Cricetulus griseus: one gene and its partners. Each later gene encodes a partner of the first gene's protein in a complex. Links are inferred from orthologs where the notes say so. Each region holds a gene or a part of one and is shown on either strand. Other genes may lie near its edges.

Region 1 (2,782 bases):
GTTTAGGGTGCCAGGAATCTTAGCAATTGCTATGCAAGGCACAAAGGAAAAAGGGAAGTTTCTGAGATCTTTTATTTCAAACCACAGATTCTATCCAGTTAAAAAATGTCTGTTGGGGATCCTGGAAGCCAAGGAAGGATGTTCAGATCATGGAAAAGGTTTTCATATGGTGGTGGAGAAGAGTGGGGGAGGAGCTGGCGAAGCTCAGAACTGGTGAATGAGTACAGGCTGTTTTTGGAAGGTTTCTAAAGATGACCAGACCAGTTCTTCAAACAGCAGCCATGGTGGGCGAGCCTGAGCTGGGTAGGCCTAAGAGAGAGGGCCCTTCAGATTCTCGCCTGCCTGCTTCCTCTGACCCTGGGCAGGTTTGAGTTCATGTCCATGTGTACTGTTTGTAGAGGAACTCAGAGGGAGAGGACAGAGCATGATAGACAAGGGCTCAGGGTAAATGTGAAAACTTCCTCCTTGCCTCCAAAAGACTCTTGTCTGGGCTTGATCTTCCCAAAGCTAGTGTTCCTGCTCAGCGTCCATGCAGGACTCCCAGGGGTTCTGGGGCATCCGTGGCAGGGAGAAGAGCAGGAGGAGCAGCCCACCGAGGAAGAGCAGGGTGAAGGCAGCACAGGCGCAGGCGAAGGACCATGAGTAGTGGTACTCGATCCAGACGGTGTCCTCACTGTCAATCATACGCTTCACCGATTGCCTCATGACCTCCACAGCGACAATGAGGCAGAGCCCTGGGACAAATCCAAGAGTCTCAGTGACTGACGGTGCTCCTGCTGCCACTCCAATCCTCCCCCAACCTCTGTTCCCTGACTTTGAGCTGGTCCTGAGAGAAAAATGCTTCTAGATGGTTCTAATGTGGTTTCTGCAAAAATGATCCATGCCTACCTACCAATTCCCACTATGCAGTTCTCACATCCTGCAGGGGGTTAGCCAGAGACTGGCCACATTTCCTTCCTTCTTTTTTTAATTACTCTCTGGGGAGGCTTCTCAGTGTTCCTCCTAAGGGTACATTGTGGGGCAAAGGGAACAAAGCAAGCTTTCTCCCTTGTAGCCTTCCTGGGGTCACCAGGGTTCTGAGTTTGTTCCTGTGTGGAGCCTGAGTGTGGAGTGTGGAGCCCTAGGGAGTGGGGTACACTAGGGAGTGGGGAGCACTAAGGAGTGGGGAGCACTAAGGAGTGGGGAGCACTAGGGAGTGGGGAGCACTAGGGAGTGGGGAGCACTAGGGAGTGGGGAGCACTAGGGAGTGGGGAGCACTAAGGAGTGGGGAGCACTAAGGAGTGGGCAGCCCTAGGGAGTCCCCTCCCACCCAGACACTGCAGGACCCCAGTCTACCTGCAAAGGCATAGAACATGGATGCTGGCCTCAGCAGATAATCACGCTTATTCCCGAAGGACAGAAATGCGCAGATGGAGCCCACAATGATGAAACCGAGGCTGAAGATGGAGATGGCCGCTGCTGAGATGCTGTACTCTGCAAAACAGAGGCAGCCTCAGAACCAGAGCCTTCCAGGCGTTTCACACCGTCAGGTTGCTTAGTGAGCTCCCACAGCCTAGATTCCCATTTCACACCTGACTAAGGCTCGCTCACTTTCTTACTCCTTCCAAGTCAGGTGCTGCTGCGGAAGAGTGAGGCCAGATGCTAATAGGATGGATTCACCTGTGTCTTTCCAGGGCGCTAAACTGCAAAGTTCCCTGAGGCAAAGGCCTCAGAAGGAGGCAGGACACCCTGTGGCTAGAGACTTTCCTAGAGCCAAAGCCTTCCTGAGTGACAGGCAGAAGGAGGCACTGAGCTGTAGGTGGTCTGTCTTAGATTGACAAGGGAACTCTGGGAGATTGACAGCGTGTGGGTGTTACCTAGCATGTGAGTGTGAGGACGTGTGTGGGTTGCCTAAGAATCCATCAGAGTATGTGCCATGTCTGCATGGGAGAATCGTGTGTGTGTGTGTGTGTGTGTGTGTGTGTGTGTGTGTGTGAGAGAGAGAGAGAGAGAGAGAGAGAGAGAGAGAGAGAGAGAGAGAGAGAGAGAGAGAAAGAGAGAGAGAATATCAGCATATGTGGAAGCACACACGTGTGCCTTGCTCATGAGGCTGCCAGCACTTATATATACCTCACAAATGAGGATCTGTCTGTGTGTGCATACAAGTGTGTGCGTTCCTTCCATTTGGCTCTCAATGTGTATGCATTCTTCATGCATGAGGATCTGATGGTATATGCATGCACGTGTGATTGTTCCCTGTACCAAGGCTCTCAGTGTTTATGTGTGCCCCATGCATGAGGCCCTGTTGGCCTGTGTGTGCAGGCATGCATGCATAAGTGTTCCCCGTACTAAGATTCTCAGTGTGTGTGTGTGTGCCCTGTGCCTGAGAATCTGTTGGTGTGTGCACGTGACTACACGTGAGGATTTCCTAGCGTGTGCATGAGTGTGTCTTTGTCAGCTCTTGTACACTGTGTAACCACCTGCTCCCACACAGCCCAGGCTCTTCTTGCTGATGAAATCTCTGAGTTCTCTTGATGAAGGGCAGGAATACCATGTTTCCTCAGCTCGGAGGGCTGTTAGTAAGTGTAGGCAGGACTGCCACTGTCCCCACTGAGCGTCTCACCCACCCACCCGATGACCCTGCTCCAGCACTGTGAGAACCTGTACCACTTTCTTAGCCCTCTGGCTCTGCTGGATGGAATATGTTCCTGCTGCAGCTTACAGCCTGCCAGCAAGTCTGTGGAATTCACTGTCCCTTACACCAACAAGTGTCCTCTGAGTACCTGGACCCAGAACTGCTTGT
Region 2 (3,995 bases), about 9.5 Mb from region 1:
CAAAGTGCCAGCAACACCATTTATAGGAAAGGAAACTGAAGCACGGAGAATGACTTGTTTGTTCGAGACAGGGTCTCTCTGTGTAGTCCTGGCTGTCCTGGAGCTTGTTATGGAGACCAGGCTGGCCTCAAACTCACAGAAATCCTCCTGCCTCTGCCTTCCCTGTGCTGGGATTAAAGGCAGGCTATACCCCACAACCAGAAAGAGCCTGAGCCCAATTAATGTCGAGTTGCTAGGATCCTATTCCTCGCCACAGACCTGGGACATTTGTTCCTCAGTCAAGGGTAAAGGAAGGACAATCCTAGGTCAACGTTCACGGCATCTGATTTTGAATAGTCTTTCTCCTTCTCTCATCTTCATACTTCCTTCTGTTTCCTCTCTGTTCTAAGCAACAGGGGGACCTTAGTAACTGATGAGGCAGAAGCACTCTTGGGTCCCTGGACAGCATTCCTATTGTCCCTACTGGCCTCTCCCTTTGGACACTCAAACCATCCTCAGCCCCAAGCCAACAGCACTAGAGCCAGGCTGGAGAGGGAGGTCTACTCTGCTGGTTTCATGGCGGCCTTGTTCTCACACTGGGGAGAAAGGAGTTAAAGCTAGGTCCCAGGATCACCGGGACCGGGAAGTTCCGGTGGCCCAAGCAGGAGTCAGTCAGGGAGACCCGCTGGGAGAGTAGTTTGGGACAGAAAGGGAGGTAGTGCCAGCCGGGCCAACCTGCGCTTCAGCGTTTGGTACTCATTGGTAAACGCCCCCACCTCCACCCCAGCCTCAAGGCCGGTTTCCCCTTGGTCCCCTACAGGCTGCCATCAACCTAGGCTAATCGGATGACAGTGGTCAAGCCCCTCTGGGATCAGGAGGCTAGCTGGGCTCCGCCACCCGGCCATTGTCTGCGCGCAACCCGTGGAGGGGCTCGAGGGGCGGGGCCGCGGCGCGGGGCGGGAGCGAGGGAGGGGCGGGGGGAGATGCTGAGCCTTCAGGGGCGGAGGCAGCGGCGGAGACGGCCGCAGAGACCAGAGCGCGAGCCGGGAGGGCGGCAAGGCGGCGAGCGTGCAGCTCGAGGTCGGGCTGGGCGACTGCACCCGGTGCTGGCTGCGCGACGCCGCGCTGCTCTCAGCTCAGACGGCCTCTCCTATGCGCTGAGAGCGCCCGGCTGGGCCGGGCGGGCGGCCGGACGGGAGGATCCTCTCCATGGTCCAGAAGAGCGGAATGTCCCGGGGCCCTTACCCACCTTCCCAGGAGATCCCTATGGAGGTCTTCGACCCCAGCCCACAGGTGAGGGGAGGTGCCGGGCTCGAGGGAAAGGGACCGCTCCTGCGGACCTTGGGATTGGCTCGAGAAGCTCCGGGAAGGAAAGGGTTATATGCCCCGGTGGGTGGGAGAGGGGTATCTGCGCGACCCCCTATTCTCAAGGGTTAATGATCGATTGACTATTGGTCGGAGTTGGGCTGCGGTCCTGCGGAGCGGAGAGGGGGTGGGTCGGATGCCTGTCAGCCTCGCCTCCAGGTCTCTCCGGCGTCCAGGTCCCTGCTGCTGGGGTACAGGCTCCGGCAGGCTGACACGGGGTTGGTGATGGGGGGGTGGGGGAAATCCAGGCCTTGAGAAGAGGAGTTGGAGGGAAGCTGGAGAGCGAATCAGGCGAGGGGGGCGACGCAGAGCACGTTTGGGGGCGCTAGCGGGTGTGGGTGGGGTGGGGGTAGTACTGGGAGACGGCAGAAACGATGGTCAGAGGGCGTTGACAACAGGCCTTCGAAGGCTCAGACACTGGCTTTCGAAGGTGGAGAAGGCATCAGCCCTGGGAGGCCCTTGCCTAGTCACCTGGCCTCCATCCCTCCCTTGGATGTTTCCCTCCCCCCAACACCCACATTGGCTTACCCCTCCCCCTGCCCCAAGGGGTGGGAGCCTCCGAAGTTTGGAAAGTTGGATGGGTGCCAACTCACTGTCTTGGAGGGGAGGAAGCTGTTTTACCTGGGGGAGGGGCTCTGCCTTTTCCCCCCTCTCACTTTTTCTATGGTCCCTGGGTTACCCCCAGGTAGGGGCATTCTTGTACATAGAAAGTCCCCAAAGAATGACCAGGAGGGTATGTGGTGGCCATGCCAGGGGATTTTTCTCAGACTTGTCCTTCTCCAAGGATAGCATTAACTCTTGCATTGCTGTGGCCAGAGTGGAGCAACTGTAAGCACCAGGATGTGATTGAAGGGTGTGTTTGGGGGGAGTCAGGTCAGACCTAAAAATACCTCATTCCTCCACCCCAGGCCCCTTGCAGCCTGGGAAGCAGCTGACTGATGCCTTCCTTTCAGCTGTCCCCTGTCCCTCTGAAGGCCACTCCCTTTGCTCAGCTGGGTTAGGGTAGTGGTGTGTAAGAATATGAGGTTCACTAGGGGATCCTCTTAGGTTTGTAGGGCGACCCAAAACTAGGTTGGCCGTAAGTCCACTTTGAAAGAAGAAGGAGAGAGGATCATGGAAGAGCGTGTGTGTGTGTGTGTGTGTGTGTGTGTGTGTGTGTGTGTGTGTGTGTGTGTGTTAGGATCTTATGTACTCTAGGTTGGCTTTGAACCTACTGATCCTCCTGCCTCTACCTTGGAAGTGTGGAGATTACAGTGTGGGGATTACTATGCCTGGCTATCCAGCCTCCTTGTTACCAGGTCTCAGGAGCCAGAGCTGCAGTGTGGTTGAGGCTCCTCTAGGGTCTTTGGTCAAAGAAAGTCTGGGGGCAGGGGCTCTTGGATGGACATTCTGCCCATTCGTACTGGGCAAGGGCCAAGTGTGTGTGTGTGGGGGGGGAGTGAGAGAGAGCAAAGAAGCAGCTCACTTGTAGGAAGCATAGAGATTCGTGAAGCCTTGGTCCATACCTTTGGCCTCTGAGAGGTCAGGCAGGAACCCCCCACCCCAGTAAGAGTCCAGTAAGATTGATTGATTAGCCATCTTACCTGGGACTGGCAGGACTATGTTCCAGTCTCAGCTTGGGGTGGGGCCAAAGTGGCCTTTTGATTGATGGGCAGGGTTAGTACTGTGGGGAGGGGGCATGGGCCGAAGCAGCTGGGGTGGAAGTAGGGTGGATCCTACCTTGGGGAGGAATATAAACCCTGATGAGGAGGAGGGAGGCTGAGGAAGGTCCTGGTAGGCTGGAGGTGAGAGTGAGAAGCAGAACCTACTCCCCAGGCACCAGGCCACAGGTTGATGTTTACTTTCTGAGCCTCCTTCCTCTTCCTTCCCCAGAAATGTGGCTTTGGGTCCTCACGAGCTGAGAGTGTCTTACCCTCCCTACTCTGGAAAGCAGAAAGCACAAGAGTTGGACTCAGGGGAGGAACTGAGCCTGGCCCTGGGTTGCCTTCCCTCCTCTCTCTGGGGGCACAGCGTGCTCTGCCCCCTCAGCTCCAGATGCAGGGGAGAGGACATCCCCCTCTCTTCCTCCACCCCCAGCACTGCAGGCAGCCTCTCCCTTCCCCCGAGGCTGCTGCAGCCTGCCCAGCATCTTAATTAGCTTTGCTGTCTAATGAACCTCCCATTTCTCAGGCCCTTTGCTTCCCAGCCTTCGGCTTGATTTGGGGATCCCTGTGTGTGCCGCCCAGGCTCTCTTGCACGGTTCTTCCCGGTGGCTGTTGTCTGGTGTCAGTGAGGTGGAAGACCCTTTTTCCTTTCAGGCTGGCCACCTCTAGAAGGAGAGGAGAGGGGTGAGGCAGAGCAGAGTGTCCCGGGGCTAGGCCCTTAGCACAAGCCCCTGTAGGAGGAGAACTGGGAAAGGGTCTTTCTGATTTCACTCTTGTTCCTTCCCCACCTCTCCAGGGCAAATACAGCAAGAGAAAAGGGCGGTTCAAAAGATCTGATGGGAGTACATCCTCGGATACAACATCCAACAGTTTTGTCCGCCAGGTAACTGGGGATGATGGCTTGGGAGGAGATGCAGCTGGTTGGTGCAGGCTGGCCTGCGACTTACTCCAGGCACCCCATCTCATATCGTTTGTCACCTGCCTGGAACCACCACAACACTCTGACAC
Region 3 (4,060 bases), on another chromosome or scaffold:
AAACATCTCAGTTACCCTTAAGATAAGTGGGTACTTTATTTCATCACCATAGTCAAACACAGTATAAAAAGTTTACCTTAGTAAAAGGTCCTCCTATGTATTGCAGCCTGCACAAATGTTATGTTGTGTTGCTACAAAATGATTGACACCTAGGAAATTTGTATGTAGATTTCCAGTGCAGAGAGCAGTAAAGTTTGTCAGAGCCGAACCACCTTACAAAGCGAAAAGCTGTCAATATTAGAATGGAAAATTACTCTTCTTTCTCCCTCCTCCTCCTTTTCTTTGTTTTTAAATCGAAAATTCGTACAATATATTCCATTTATAGTCCTTCTCTTCCATCTCCTCCCTAACTCCCCATCCATCCAACACTAAACATGCTGGCTTTAGCCACTTGTCAAACATTTCAAGGTCTTTAAAACCGTGCAACCCCTCTTTTTGTCTCAAGGGTCACATTAAGACTTCTCAACCATGTGTGTGTGTGTGGGGGGGGGGGGATCCAGTCTGCTAGCAAAGAAGTGCTACTAGCAAAGACAACAGAAACAAAACAGGTCATCACAAAGCGAAAAGCTAGGGCACAGGTGTCATGGGTTTGAGCCAATTGTCAGATCAGGATCATGTGGGAGGAAGCCTTAGTTCATCAACAGCACTTGCTTTCTGCCTCAAGTGCTGCTTTTTGCAGAGGCTCCGGAGTCTGTCTGCAGCTTTTTCTGAATCATAGAGACTGTCAATTTAGAGACCAACCCTGGGGATCTTTTCCCTCCCCTGGTCCCCGGGAAGAGGAGGTGAGTTGAGCGACTGGTCCTGTTACCTCCCCAGGGAGCCCCGGCTGGCTTTCGCGTCTTCAAAAACTTTCCAGCGCGAGTGCCACGGCGACGGGCTGCAGTTGAGTCGGAGCCCACGCCATCCGCGAGGAACTTTTCGGAGTGGCAGTGGCTTGTCACTCTCGCTTTCCGACGCGCCTCCCCCTGGCTCGCGCTCCCGGAGCGCCCTCCCTCCTGGCGGGGACCTTCCCGGGAGACCGCCCGCCCCGCAGTCCGCGTCTGGGCCGCTCGCTGGCCCCGAGGCCCCAAAGAGCGTGAGCCCCTCTCCTTGGCCACCCAGCCGCGTGCCCGCGCCGCTGCCTCTAGGCTTTGCAACATGCTCCAGCGGCGCCCCGCTCACTGAGAGCCGCCGATCATAGGGCGAAGAGGAGCGGGGGACCCGGGGCGTGGAGAAGGGGACTCGCCGCCTTGGAGCCGACTTTTCGCCGATGGTCCAAAGCGACACGTCCAAGTCGCCTCCCATAGCGGCGGTGGCGCAGGAGAGCCAGATGGAGCTGCTGGAGAGCGCGGCTCCCGCGGGGGCGCTCGGAGCACAGGTAGCCACAGCGCCGCGCCTTCTGCTGGCTTTGTGAGCCTCGGGGCTCCGACCTCAGTCCCTCCCGCCTCCTCCTCCTTTCCTGATCGCAGACCTCGCCTCCCCCTCTAGTTTGGGTCTGCTTCGCCACCTCCTCCCCCATCCCCGGGCTGACCCGGACCCTGCCCCTGCGCGCCTTCCCTGGCTCTGCTCGGCTTCCATTTTTTTTTTTTCCTCTTTGCTTTTTGAAAAGCCAGTGGGAAGGGGCGAGGACGACCTGCCGCTCCGCCCCGGCTTCTCCCGGGCCACGCCGCTCGGCGGTCCGCGCCCCTGCCAGGGAGAAGCACATGGAGAGCTATGGACCAGGCGAGCGGACTGGACCGGCTCAAGATCGTGAGTCCGGGCGGGAGGGAAAGGGTTCCGCATCCCGCAGCGCTGTTTCCGGCCACTGCCTCTGGTGGTCCTCCGCTAGGAGCTGGGCGGGGAGGTGGGATGCTCTGAGGGGTCGAGATGGGCGTGGAACCCCCCTGCCTTGTCCCCTGAGATCAGCCTCTACCCCCCCCCCTTGGCACCTGGGACTCTGTGCCACTCAGACAGTTCAGCTGTCCCCTGAACCTCCTTTTTCCTTTGCTTTAAGAAGAGAGCAGAGAGTTGGGGAGGAGAGAAAGTTTTTGTTTCTGTTTACCCTGAAATGGCAAGCCATTCTAGCCGCTCCTGGGTTCCCTTCTCTGATGAGTATTAGCGGTTTCTGGAAAAATTCTGTTCCGCTGTTCATTGTGAAATAGGAGATGTCGGTTGTAGGCGTTGGGTGTGATAAGGTAGCTTTTACGTAAGGCTTTGGCAGGTACAGTTGGTATTCCAGACACCCCCAGACCTGGGGTAAGGAGTCTCTCTCAACTTTTATTCTTGGGGCAAAGCCTTCCGGCCTGACACTTGGGTTAGTTGGAGAGTACTAGGAAGAGACTAGGGTGAGTCCAGGAGGGTGCTTCCCCGTTACTTAATGGCTTTGGCTTGCTGATTGCCACCCACATTTGCCAGGTTGTAAACTGTGATATGTGTGCACATAATTAACACATAACGTAAAATCTACAGGGGACGAGGGTTTACTCTGTAGTAGTGGGGCATTCTGAGAAAGGTCACAAATATGTATGTAGCTGCTGCTCTGGTAGTATTTCTGTACCATGACAATGGTAACCCATGTGTATAATTCAAGCTCCTTCGAACTCCCTCTGTGTGTTTCTGACTTTGCTTGGGAGCATGTTTGCGTGGGTGCTATTCATTCACATGTGTGTTCATGTGTGTGCAGGCCGAAAGGTTGTATTGCTGGGTCAAAGGGTTAGTTGCAGAAGGCCGGTGGGTTTTCTCCTTCAGCCATGTGGGTCTCAGGGTTTGAGTACAGGTCCTAGGGCTTCCTGCCTATTGCTGTTACTTGCTGAGCCATCTTGTTGACTCTTTATTGAGCTCTCTTTGACCACTGGAAACGGCATGTTCTAACTTAGAATGCACAATTTACACTGATTAGAGATAAAGAGAAAACATGGACGATATGGACTTGTAAATCAGAAATTCATTTCTTTTGTGGTGGTAAAGCAGGTAGGTAGGCTTCAGTCTGCCTGGCTGTTGGCTAACAAGCCTGGTGGGGGATCTGTAATTAACCAGCACTCTCACAGCCAGATTCTGCCAGGGGATCTGAATTTGAACCCACAGAGCTCACGTTTGTTTTAGGCTCCTGATTTTATCATGATACTTGCCAGCTGAGATGAGTTAAAAGATGTACTCAGAGACTTAGGTTGTGCAGGGATGAAGTGCTTGAAGATTGGGAGAGGAAGGTCGTTGTGATGTCTCTTCTCTTTGAAGTTTCTTTACGTAATTTGTTTTTCTTTTTTAAGAATTTTTTTTATTCTTGTCATAAAAATAGGAGTTTTGAAATTTTGGCAGTCAAAGTTAGGGTTGATAAATTAACAGAAAAAAGTAACTGTATTTAGGTGAGAGCACTAATTTACCTGATTATTTCTAATTAAATTCAAGGCAGCAAATACCCAGTATATAGCTGGGTATTAATTGGAATTAATCTAAATTGGAATTAATCTAAATTGGAATTAATCTAAAGTGGACAGGTAGAATTTTCTCCCTTCAAAGAATTTATACTCCTGTAGTTTCATGAGTGGCAAAGGAGACATTTGTGTCGGTGGGTCTTCTGGAGAATGCAGTAAAGGTCGTAAGTCTTGAGTTATCTTCAATATTTGACAAGGGAAGTGGCATTTGAAAGGGTGTGCTAGATTTCAACCCAAACTTTGAAAGACATAATGGGAGCCACATGTAAAGCTATTGTAGAAATTAGATGTCTCTATAGTGTGTACTTGTAATCTCTAGTGTGGAAAGCAGGGAAAGCGTTTGATTGGGTAATGCCAGGCATCAGGTTGGAAAGGCTATTTGAAGTCACATGTTGGAGACTTTGAATAACAGATCTGTGGAAAAGGTTCAGAGACGGAGCCACGTGACAGCTCACTGGCCAGATCCACAGAGAATGTTCTGAGAGTGCAGAGGCAGAGCTGCAAGAAAGGGGGTGGGGTTAATAGATATTCAACACTTTGGGCAAGGGCTAAAAATGTCTAAACTCGAAAGTGATGAAAAGATCATGGCTATGTTAGGTAAGCTTGTAATCATCAGACTTCTTAAACACCAAGCCAGGACTACACGGATATGGGATAGAGATTAAAAGAGG
Region 4 (3,130 bases), on another chromosome or scaffold:
TTTCTCTGTAACTTGGGGCTTTGTCCAGGATACCTGGAGCCACACTTCAGCCACCCTGTGCCTGATCCTGGTTTCCCTTGCTCATGGTAAGATGGCAGTGATAGAAGAGTCAGCATTTGCGGTCTCAAGGGCTGGTTCAGCTGAGTTAGGTCTGAAGAGGACCACAGAGCCCTGCCCTCCATTTCAGGCAAATACTTTCTTTGCCCCTCAAAGGTAGGCAAGCATGTGAATTCAAGTTGTAGCTACTTGTGGAGCCCTCTGGCCTGAGGCGGGGGCAGTAGGAAGCTTTGACTAGGATGCTTCCTCACTTCTCAGAGCAAGTCTCTTCTGTACTGCTACCTCCCTCCCTCCAGACATCGGGCTTGGGGTGTGGTGTGCCCACAAATACAGTGCCTCTTGCAGTTGCTGTTTCCCCTTCCCAGGAATCCTTGGAGAGAAGGGGCCAGAATACTTCAACTCTGCAGACTTAGGCCACACAGTAATATAGAGCCACACAAGCCAACATACCAGAGACATGCAAGGGACTGTGCATGGTGTTTTATTGGAGATGACAATGAGGTGGGGCAGGTTCTCGATGGAGCATGCTCTGTGGGTCACACGCTAGAGCCATAAGGCAAGGGTAGCCAGGCAGACAGCCTCTGGGGGCCATCCACTGTGTCCTAATATCCTCTCTAACCCTAACTTAACAAGCGGCAGCTATGAGTCAGGGAGCCCTGATCTTGCAGGAGGCATGGAGGGAAAAGAACAGAAATGACAGATGCAAGGGCAAATGAATGAGAAAGGCAAGGGGCCGGAAGCTGTTCCTCCCTCCCCCGCAGTCCAGGCTGGCTTCTGGCTTCACCATGCTCCAGTTCCCTAGTCTTGCCAGATGCTAAGCTTCCTGGTTTGGAGAGGAGGGCCTTTTTCTACCAGAGCTTCCGCTGTGAGTTGTCTGTCCAGCCTCACCTACACTGCTCCTGTCTTAGGTGTAAATGCCCACCCCAGCTGATGGTACATGAGTGCCACCATGTTGAGCTCTGATTGTTTCATTTCTGATGTGTGGCAGTGAGGTGAGTGGAGTACCTTGTTAGGGCTTAGATTATATTGCCATTACTTCCACTCTCCTGTTATTAGAGGGGCATCCATTCTGGTTGGAAGTTCCCCGCTAAGTGATCCTGGCCTGAGATCATTGCCCACTGGGGCAGCTTCTTGTGCAGGTGAGGAAGGTGCCGAGGATGCAGATCACAGCTAGTACCTGGGATGAGAACCTACGGGGTCACTGTGCCCAGGAGGTGAGGGGGCCCCTTGCTTCTCCCAGAACCTTGGGACCACAGTCAGCCCTGGACCAGGGGCTGGGCAGGGGGTTGTGGGAGCTGAACCTAGTGGCAGCCTAATGCCAGTTTAACTCCAACCTGCTTGAGGTGGTTACCCCAGCCGCTGTGCCTGTGCCTGCCAGGGTAGGGCAGGAGGTGGTCAGTAGCTATCCTTAGGCCAAGGCCGGTTACGCTGCCAGTTCCGGTCATTGTGATCGTGCTCCGAGTCCTGGGCTAGGAGCCGGTCTTGGGGGTCGTGCCCATTAGCACTGGGCAGCCCCGAGGTGTGTTGGCGGTGAGGCTGGTACAGGCCCTGGTAGGCATCTGCATAGTCCTCCTCCAGATGGCGGGAGCTGCGCTGTGAAGATCCCGTCCAGGCCTGGCGGGAGCTCTCACTGGCCTCATCTGAGGGCATCAAGCTGTCCCGTTCCAGGGGTGAATGCTCCTCACCTCGCTCCCCCAGCAGCTGCTGGTTCTGGGGGCCACACAATAGCTCTGAGTAAGGTGAGGCAGACCTGGCCTTTGATCCTAGGACTCTGGCAGGGAGGTGGGGTTCTTCCCCCTCTATTCTCAATTCCCAGGTTTTGTTTTATATAGTGCAAGGAAGAAGTAAGCTGGGACATTCTTCTGGGCCAGATAAAGCTGGAGTCTGGGCTCCTGCAAACTTAGGCTCTCCCTGAAAAAGTGACTGGGAGAAAGGTGTGGAGAGAATGTTTCCTTTGACCCTGGAAGGCCCATCTCATTCACTGCTCTTCAATCAGGAAGTTCTTGACCTCCATGCCCTGGGTCTGTAGAGCAAGCTGAAGCAGAGCTGACAGCTCAGCAATCCCTTGCATAAGCCTGCACATTTGTGACCACGGGAAAGGGTTACCTGAAGTCCAGGGATGGCACTAGGAGGACCCAGAAGTCCAGGGCCAGGTGCTGGATGGTGGGTAGCTCGCCAGTAAACCTCTAGATACTCAGCCAGGTGCTCACAGGCGTCCTCCAGTTGGTTCTCATCCAGAATCACATCAAAGGACTCCTGGAGAGGAAGGAGACAGGGAGGTTGGCTCCTCAGCAGCAGCCCCGCAGCTCCTGCACCCTGGAATAGGTGCTGCTGACCCAGGCACTCACCGGGGGGCACTGAACCAGCTTGTCATATGCCATCATCTGTACAGTCAGGTGCTTCATCTGTGACTTCCCTCGGGAGCGGATGAGTCGCTGGAGTACCTGAGTAGGAGGGCAGAGATAGGCTAGAGTCTCATGGGACTTGGGCAGAGCTGGGCCTGGAAGGAACTAGGCACATACCCAACTTGCCGTACGACATTAGTAAGTAGCAGGTGAGGATGACTCAGTGTGGTGTTAAGGGCGCAAAGGAAATGGTCACTCCAGGTAGGGCCCAAGCAGAAGTGCACTATTTTCTAGGGGGCATCTTCTGTGGGACCCCAATTCACTCCAGTTTCACTTACCTTTGGTGAGGATACTTTGACAAAGACGATGATGGGGGCCAGCGAGGTCTTGGCTAGCTGTGCTGGGTGGTTGATCGTATCAGCATCCAACACCACTAGCTGCAGGGATTTGGCCAGCTCGAAAATGCGCTCAATCTCACTCTGCACTTCAGCTGAGGAAGGGGAGCAGCTCACCAGGGGTTCTGCCCACTGCTTAATTCAGGGCTTTGAGGGTTGCTATATGGTGGGCTGGAAGTGGGCCGGGCAAGAGGGCAGCCCTGGGGCAGGCGGGGGAAGAAAGGAAGGGAGACATCCTGACTAGAAGTGGGAACAAGAGTCCTCACCAATGCTGGAGCGGGCAGAGGAACGCTCGATAATGGTCCTTTTGCCAGGGTTGTTGAGCACAGAACG
Region 5 (3,517 bases), on another chromosome or scaffold:
GCTGTTCCGGTTACCTCCAGGTCACGAGAACAGTGAGGCACTTCTGAAACGAACCCATTAGGAACATTGAAACGAATAAAAAACACCCGCGTCTCGCCAGCCCCGTGGACTACAGGTTGCTGACGTAGGCCCTGCTGTCCGGGAGCGCCTCCTCGCTCCGGCCTCGCCCCAGGGCATATGCGCAGCTCTCGTCCTCTGGGACCACAGCCCTGTCCTGCCCCGGGTCCCTGCAGTTCACAAAAGGTAAGAGGGTGCCGTTGGGGCTCTGCTGGGCGCCCCCACTGAGGATGTTGTCTGCCGCATTCTCCATCTCCTCTATCGTCATGTCACAGGCGTCGGCCAACTCCTGGGTGGTGACCTCGATGAACTTGGGATCTTGAGCAAACTGTCCCAGTCCTTCTGAAATCAAGACCTGAAAAGGCGGGGCAAGAAGACAGAAGAGGGGCGTGGTCACTGGAGTTCAAAGTTCCCTAAGGATGAAGCGGCAGGCTGCTGAGAAGCAAAGCATCTGTGTGTGTACATAACATGTGCCGTGTGTGTGTGTGTGTACGGATGCATGGATGCATGCATGTGTGTATGTGGGGGGTGTGTATGCGTGTTTGTGTGTCTGTATTTGTGTGCTAAGAGGGACACTCACTGGAGAGTAGAGATGGGGTATGGATCAAAGGAAGTGGGCGTGCACAGATCAGAGGAGGGAGCTTTAGGCAGGCGGGTTCAAACAAAACGAGGAGGAACTTGCAGAGGAGCTGTGTGCGGACTCCCCTCTGCTTTTCCGCAGGCAGATCACAGCCTGCCTCCTTTTCTTTTCTCCTCTCTGGCCCCCAAGCCATCTTTCACGTTGTCGTTTCCAAGAAGCCTTCACTTTCATTTGGTGATAACCACTGCCCCCACCCCGGCCAGCTGTCTGCAACTCCAGGGCTCCTTGTGTCGGATGCATGGTCTGCTTTTGTTTGGGAGCATGTGCCCACCCTTCCTGCTGGCTGCTTTAGCGACTGCTGAAGGAAGACTCCGAAGTCTCTGAGCTAAGGGGTAGAATATGGCAGGCAGGGCGGGTCTTTTTCTCCCTCGCCCCTGTTCCTCCCCCTCTGCCCGAGTCACTCTCTCCTCACCTTGCCTGACTTTTCTACTGCTACCCCGCCTGTTCCAGCCCTAGCATGCTTATTTTTTCACCTGTTTGCCCTCACCACCACAGTGGGAGCTCACAGAGAGCTAAAACCCATTTTCCCAGAGGTCTCACTACACCTGAGTCTCTGCACCTAGTAAGAGTCTCTGGGACTTGAGATGAGCAAGAACAAGCAAGCTCAAGCGAAGACTTAGCCTTTCCGAGTTGGAAGGACCAGAGTTACTTGACTGAACTCCACTCCCAGGTCCATCTGACCACAGGACAGACGCAGCCACAGCTTGATGGCAGAGACTGACTCCCTTACAGTCCTCTTAGTGGGGACAGCTGTGTTGGCAAGGTCTCCCCTCCACCGGTTCTCCTAGGAGATGGTTTCTAAGGACCTTGCCACACTCGTTGGGGTTTGTTTCAGTTTGTCAAAGGCTCCAAAAATGAGATGCTAGGGTTGGAATCGATGCTCCTCGGGGCAGAGGACTTGTGACACTGAACTCTCTAAAGGAGGAACAGAAGCCAAGGAGAAAAAAATTCCATCTTATACTTGGCCACTCATGCGTTAGAGTCACTGGGAGCCCTGACAACGCCTGTTTCCTCTGGCAAGCTTCTAAAGCTCTGGGGAGCTGTTCTCCTGAGCAGTGAGAGTTGAGCACACTGAACCCTGGCCCTCTTTGTAGGAACAAGTCCCAGCATGCGTGAACACTGGGAGGCAGCAGGGCCTTTCTTGGGTTCACTGGCCCCGTGCTTTACTAAGGACTTTCTCCCTGTTCATTACACCCAGTGGCTATCAACTTGTATAGTCATGGTTGTGATTTTCTGCAGGCCAGGCCTTCCTTCAGCAGTTCCCTAGTTTACACACTTGACACCTAGTCTACTTGGGAAGGAGCCAGGATTCCACATCTGCACAAAAGTCTCTTGTTTTCTGGAGTCTCTCCCTCCCCAGGAGTTCAAATTCACATACCGCTTCCACCAGGCTGCTGGCACTGCCATGGAACTGTCTCCCCGGAGCTCCAGCCTGGCTGGGCACGGTGAGGGAGACAGGCCGGGCTCTCCGAGCCATGCTGCTGCCCCCACTACAGGCAGTGGTCTCGTCAGACCAGGAGCTGCAGGGGATGGATGGGAAGCTGCTGTTGAGTTTCTCGCTGGACTCAGCCCCCTCCAGTCGTAGGGTGGGGATGGGCTGTAGGGGCCTGCCCCGGCTGCCAGGGGTGACAGGGGGTGTGGGGCATGCCCTGGGGATCTTGGTAGGAGAATGGCTTCTCTGCAGGAGGGGACTCAAACCTGCCACTGCCAATGCCTGTGGACACAAGAAAAGGAGTTACTAGGAGGGTCAGCCCTCTGCCTTCGGAGTAACTTTGAAGCTAATATTTCCCAGTGAGTTCTGTCTAAAATTCTCGAAGCTCAAATCCCGTCTACCTCACTGAGACTTGGTATAGGAAATATTTTAGTGAGCGTTTCCTTTGACATGATGCATTTCCCTCTAGCTTCAGGACCTTACAACTGAGTGCAATCCTGATCATCCACTGTGTAGACTCTGCCACCCATATTCTCTGGATTCAGTCACTCTGGCTTTCCCATTAGAGCAGAGAGGACAATGATGATGTGTTCTTCACAGAGCCAGAATTCGCCAGTGCCCTCTCAATGCACCGACCTAAAGGCCAGTGTGAAATAAGGTTTTTGAGGTATAGTGTCTATCATTAAGACCTAGACAAAACCAGTAGTCATAACATCATTATTTGAACTTTTACCATGAAATAGGCCCACTGATAACGCCCTGTCAATCTCAAGCAGGGTGTTTTGACTCCTGTTTAACATTAGACTGATTAACGATTCCCATGTCTGTCTTCTCCATCCCCAAATGCTCCAGAGAATCCTGAGGGTAACCCTGCATCCCCACTGTCACTGTGACTCTCTGGCACTGTCCACTGCTCAGATGGGATGTGTTTGTTGAAAAGAATGACACTGTGTGGTGGGACTGTTCATCTCTGGGAGACAGAGAGAACAGGTTGGAGGTGGCAGAAGGACACAAAGAGAAACCTCATTTTCCACCAATGGGCACAAGGGCACATGGACAAAACCAACTTGGAGGAAGCTTTTAAAATAGACCATATAGTGTCCCTATATCCTGCTTTCCTTCCCTCTCCCCAACTCATGGAGTCCCCAGCTTCTGGGCACCTGGAAATGTAAGGGAAGCATAAAGCTATGTTCATTATGTTGGAACAATGACAGTATCATGACAGTAATCCCCATTTAGACAGGGTTTTGGCCTTTGAGTTAAAGTTGTATCAGTTTATAAAACACATTTGTATGCTTGTGCTCACACACACAAACACATGCACACAAGTACTAACATACCCACACATATGTATACACACATATAATCACATGCACACACACACACAC

Evidence for each region.
Region 2: Cacng1 (region 1) and Cacnb1 share a complex: the UniProt entries of both Homo sapiens proteins name them as parts of the calcium channel complex. The link is inferred for Cricetulus griseus from reciprocal best matches to the Homo sapiens genes CACNG1 and CACNB1.
Region 3: Cacng1 (region 1) and Cacnb2 share a complex: the UniProt entries of both Homo sapiens proteins name them as parts of the calcium channel complex. The link is inferred for Cricetulus griseus from reciprocal best matches to the Homo sapiens genes CACNG1 and CACNB2.
Region 4: Cacng1 (region 1) and Cacnb3 share a complex: the UniProt entries of both Homo sapiens proteins name them as parts of the calcium channel complex. The link is inferred for Cricetulus griseus from reciprocal best matches to the Homo sapiens genes CACNG1 and CACNB3.
Region 5: Cacng1 (region 1) and Cacna1c share a complex: the UniProt entries of both Homo sapiens proteins name them as parts of the calcium channel complex. The link is inferred for Cricetulus griseus from reciprocal best matches to the Homo sapiens genes CACNG1 and CACNA1C.

The regions. Positions count from the first base shown.
Region 1 is NC_048600.1:120,670,494-120,673,275, forward strand, and holds the end of Cacng1 (voltage-dependent calcium channel gamma-1 subunit), read right to left. Parts: intron 1,474-2,782; coding exon 1,336-1,473; intron 735-1,335; coding exon 508-734; downstream 1-507. UniProt on the Homo sapiens protein: Regulatory subunit of the voltage-gated calcium channel that gives rise to L-type calcium currents in skeletal muscle. Regulates channel inactivation kinetics.
Region 2 is NC_048600.1:111,151,349-111,155,343, reverse strand, and holds the start of Cacnb1 (voltage-dependent L-type calcium channel subunit beta-1), read left to right. Parts: upstream 1-1,188; coding exon 1,189-1,272; intron 1,273-3,783; coding exon 3,784-3,870; intron 3,871-3,995. UniProt on the Homo sapiens protein: Regulatory subunit of L-type calcium channels. Regulates the activity of L-type calcium channels that contain CACNA1A as pore-forming subunit.
Region 3 is NC_048596.1:218,168,534-218,172,593, reverse strand, and holds the start of Cacnb2 (voltage-dependent L-type calcium channel subunit beta-2), read left to right. Parts: upstream 1-1,249; coding exon 1,250-1,357; intron 1,358-4,060. UniProt on the Homo sapiens protein: Beta subunit of voltage-dependent calcium channels which contributes to the function of the calcium channel by increasing peak calcium current. Plays a role in shifting voltage dependencies of activation and inactivation of the channel.
Region 4 is NC_048595.1:395,121,444-395,124,573, reverse strand, and holds the end of Cacnb3 (voltage-dependent L-type calcium channel subunit beta-3), read right to left. Parts: coding exon 3,064-3,130; intron 2,893-3,063; coding exon 2,741-2,892; intron 2,502-2,740; coding exon 2,406-2,501; intron 2,314-2,405; coding exon 2,164-2,313; intron 1,768-2,163; coding exon 1,453-1,767; 3' UTR 505-1,452; downstream 1-504. UniProt on the Homo sapiens protein: Regulatory subunit of the voltage-gated calcium channel that gives rise to L-type calcium currents. Increases CACNA1B peak calcium current and shifts the voltage dependencies of channel activation and inactivation.
Region 5 is NC_048601.1:26,325,582-26,329,098, reverse strand, and holds part of Cacna1c (voltage-dependent L-type calcium channel subunit alpha-1C), read right to left. Parts: intron 2,412-3,517; coding exon 2,076-2,411; intron 413-2,075; coding exon 110-412; 3' UTR 1-109. UniProt on the Homo sapiens protein: Pore-forming, alpha-1C subunit of the voltage-gated calcium channel that gives rise to L-type calcium currents. Mediates influx of calcium ions into the cytoplasm, and thereby triggers calcium release from the sarcoplasm.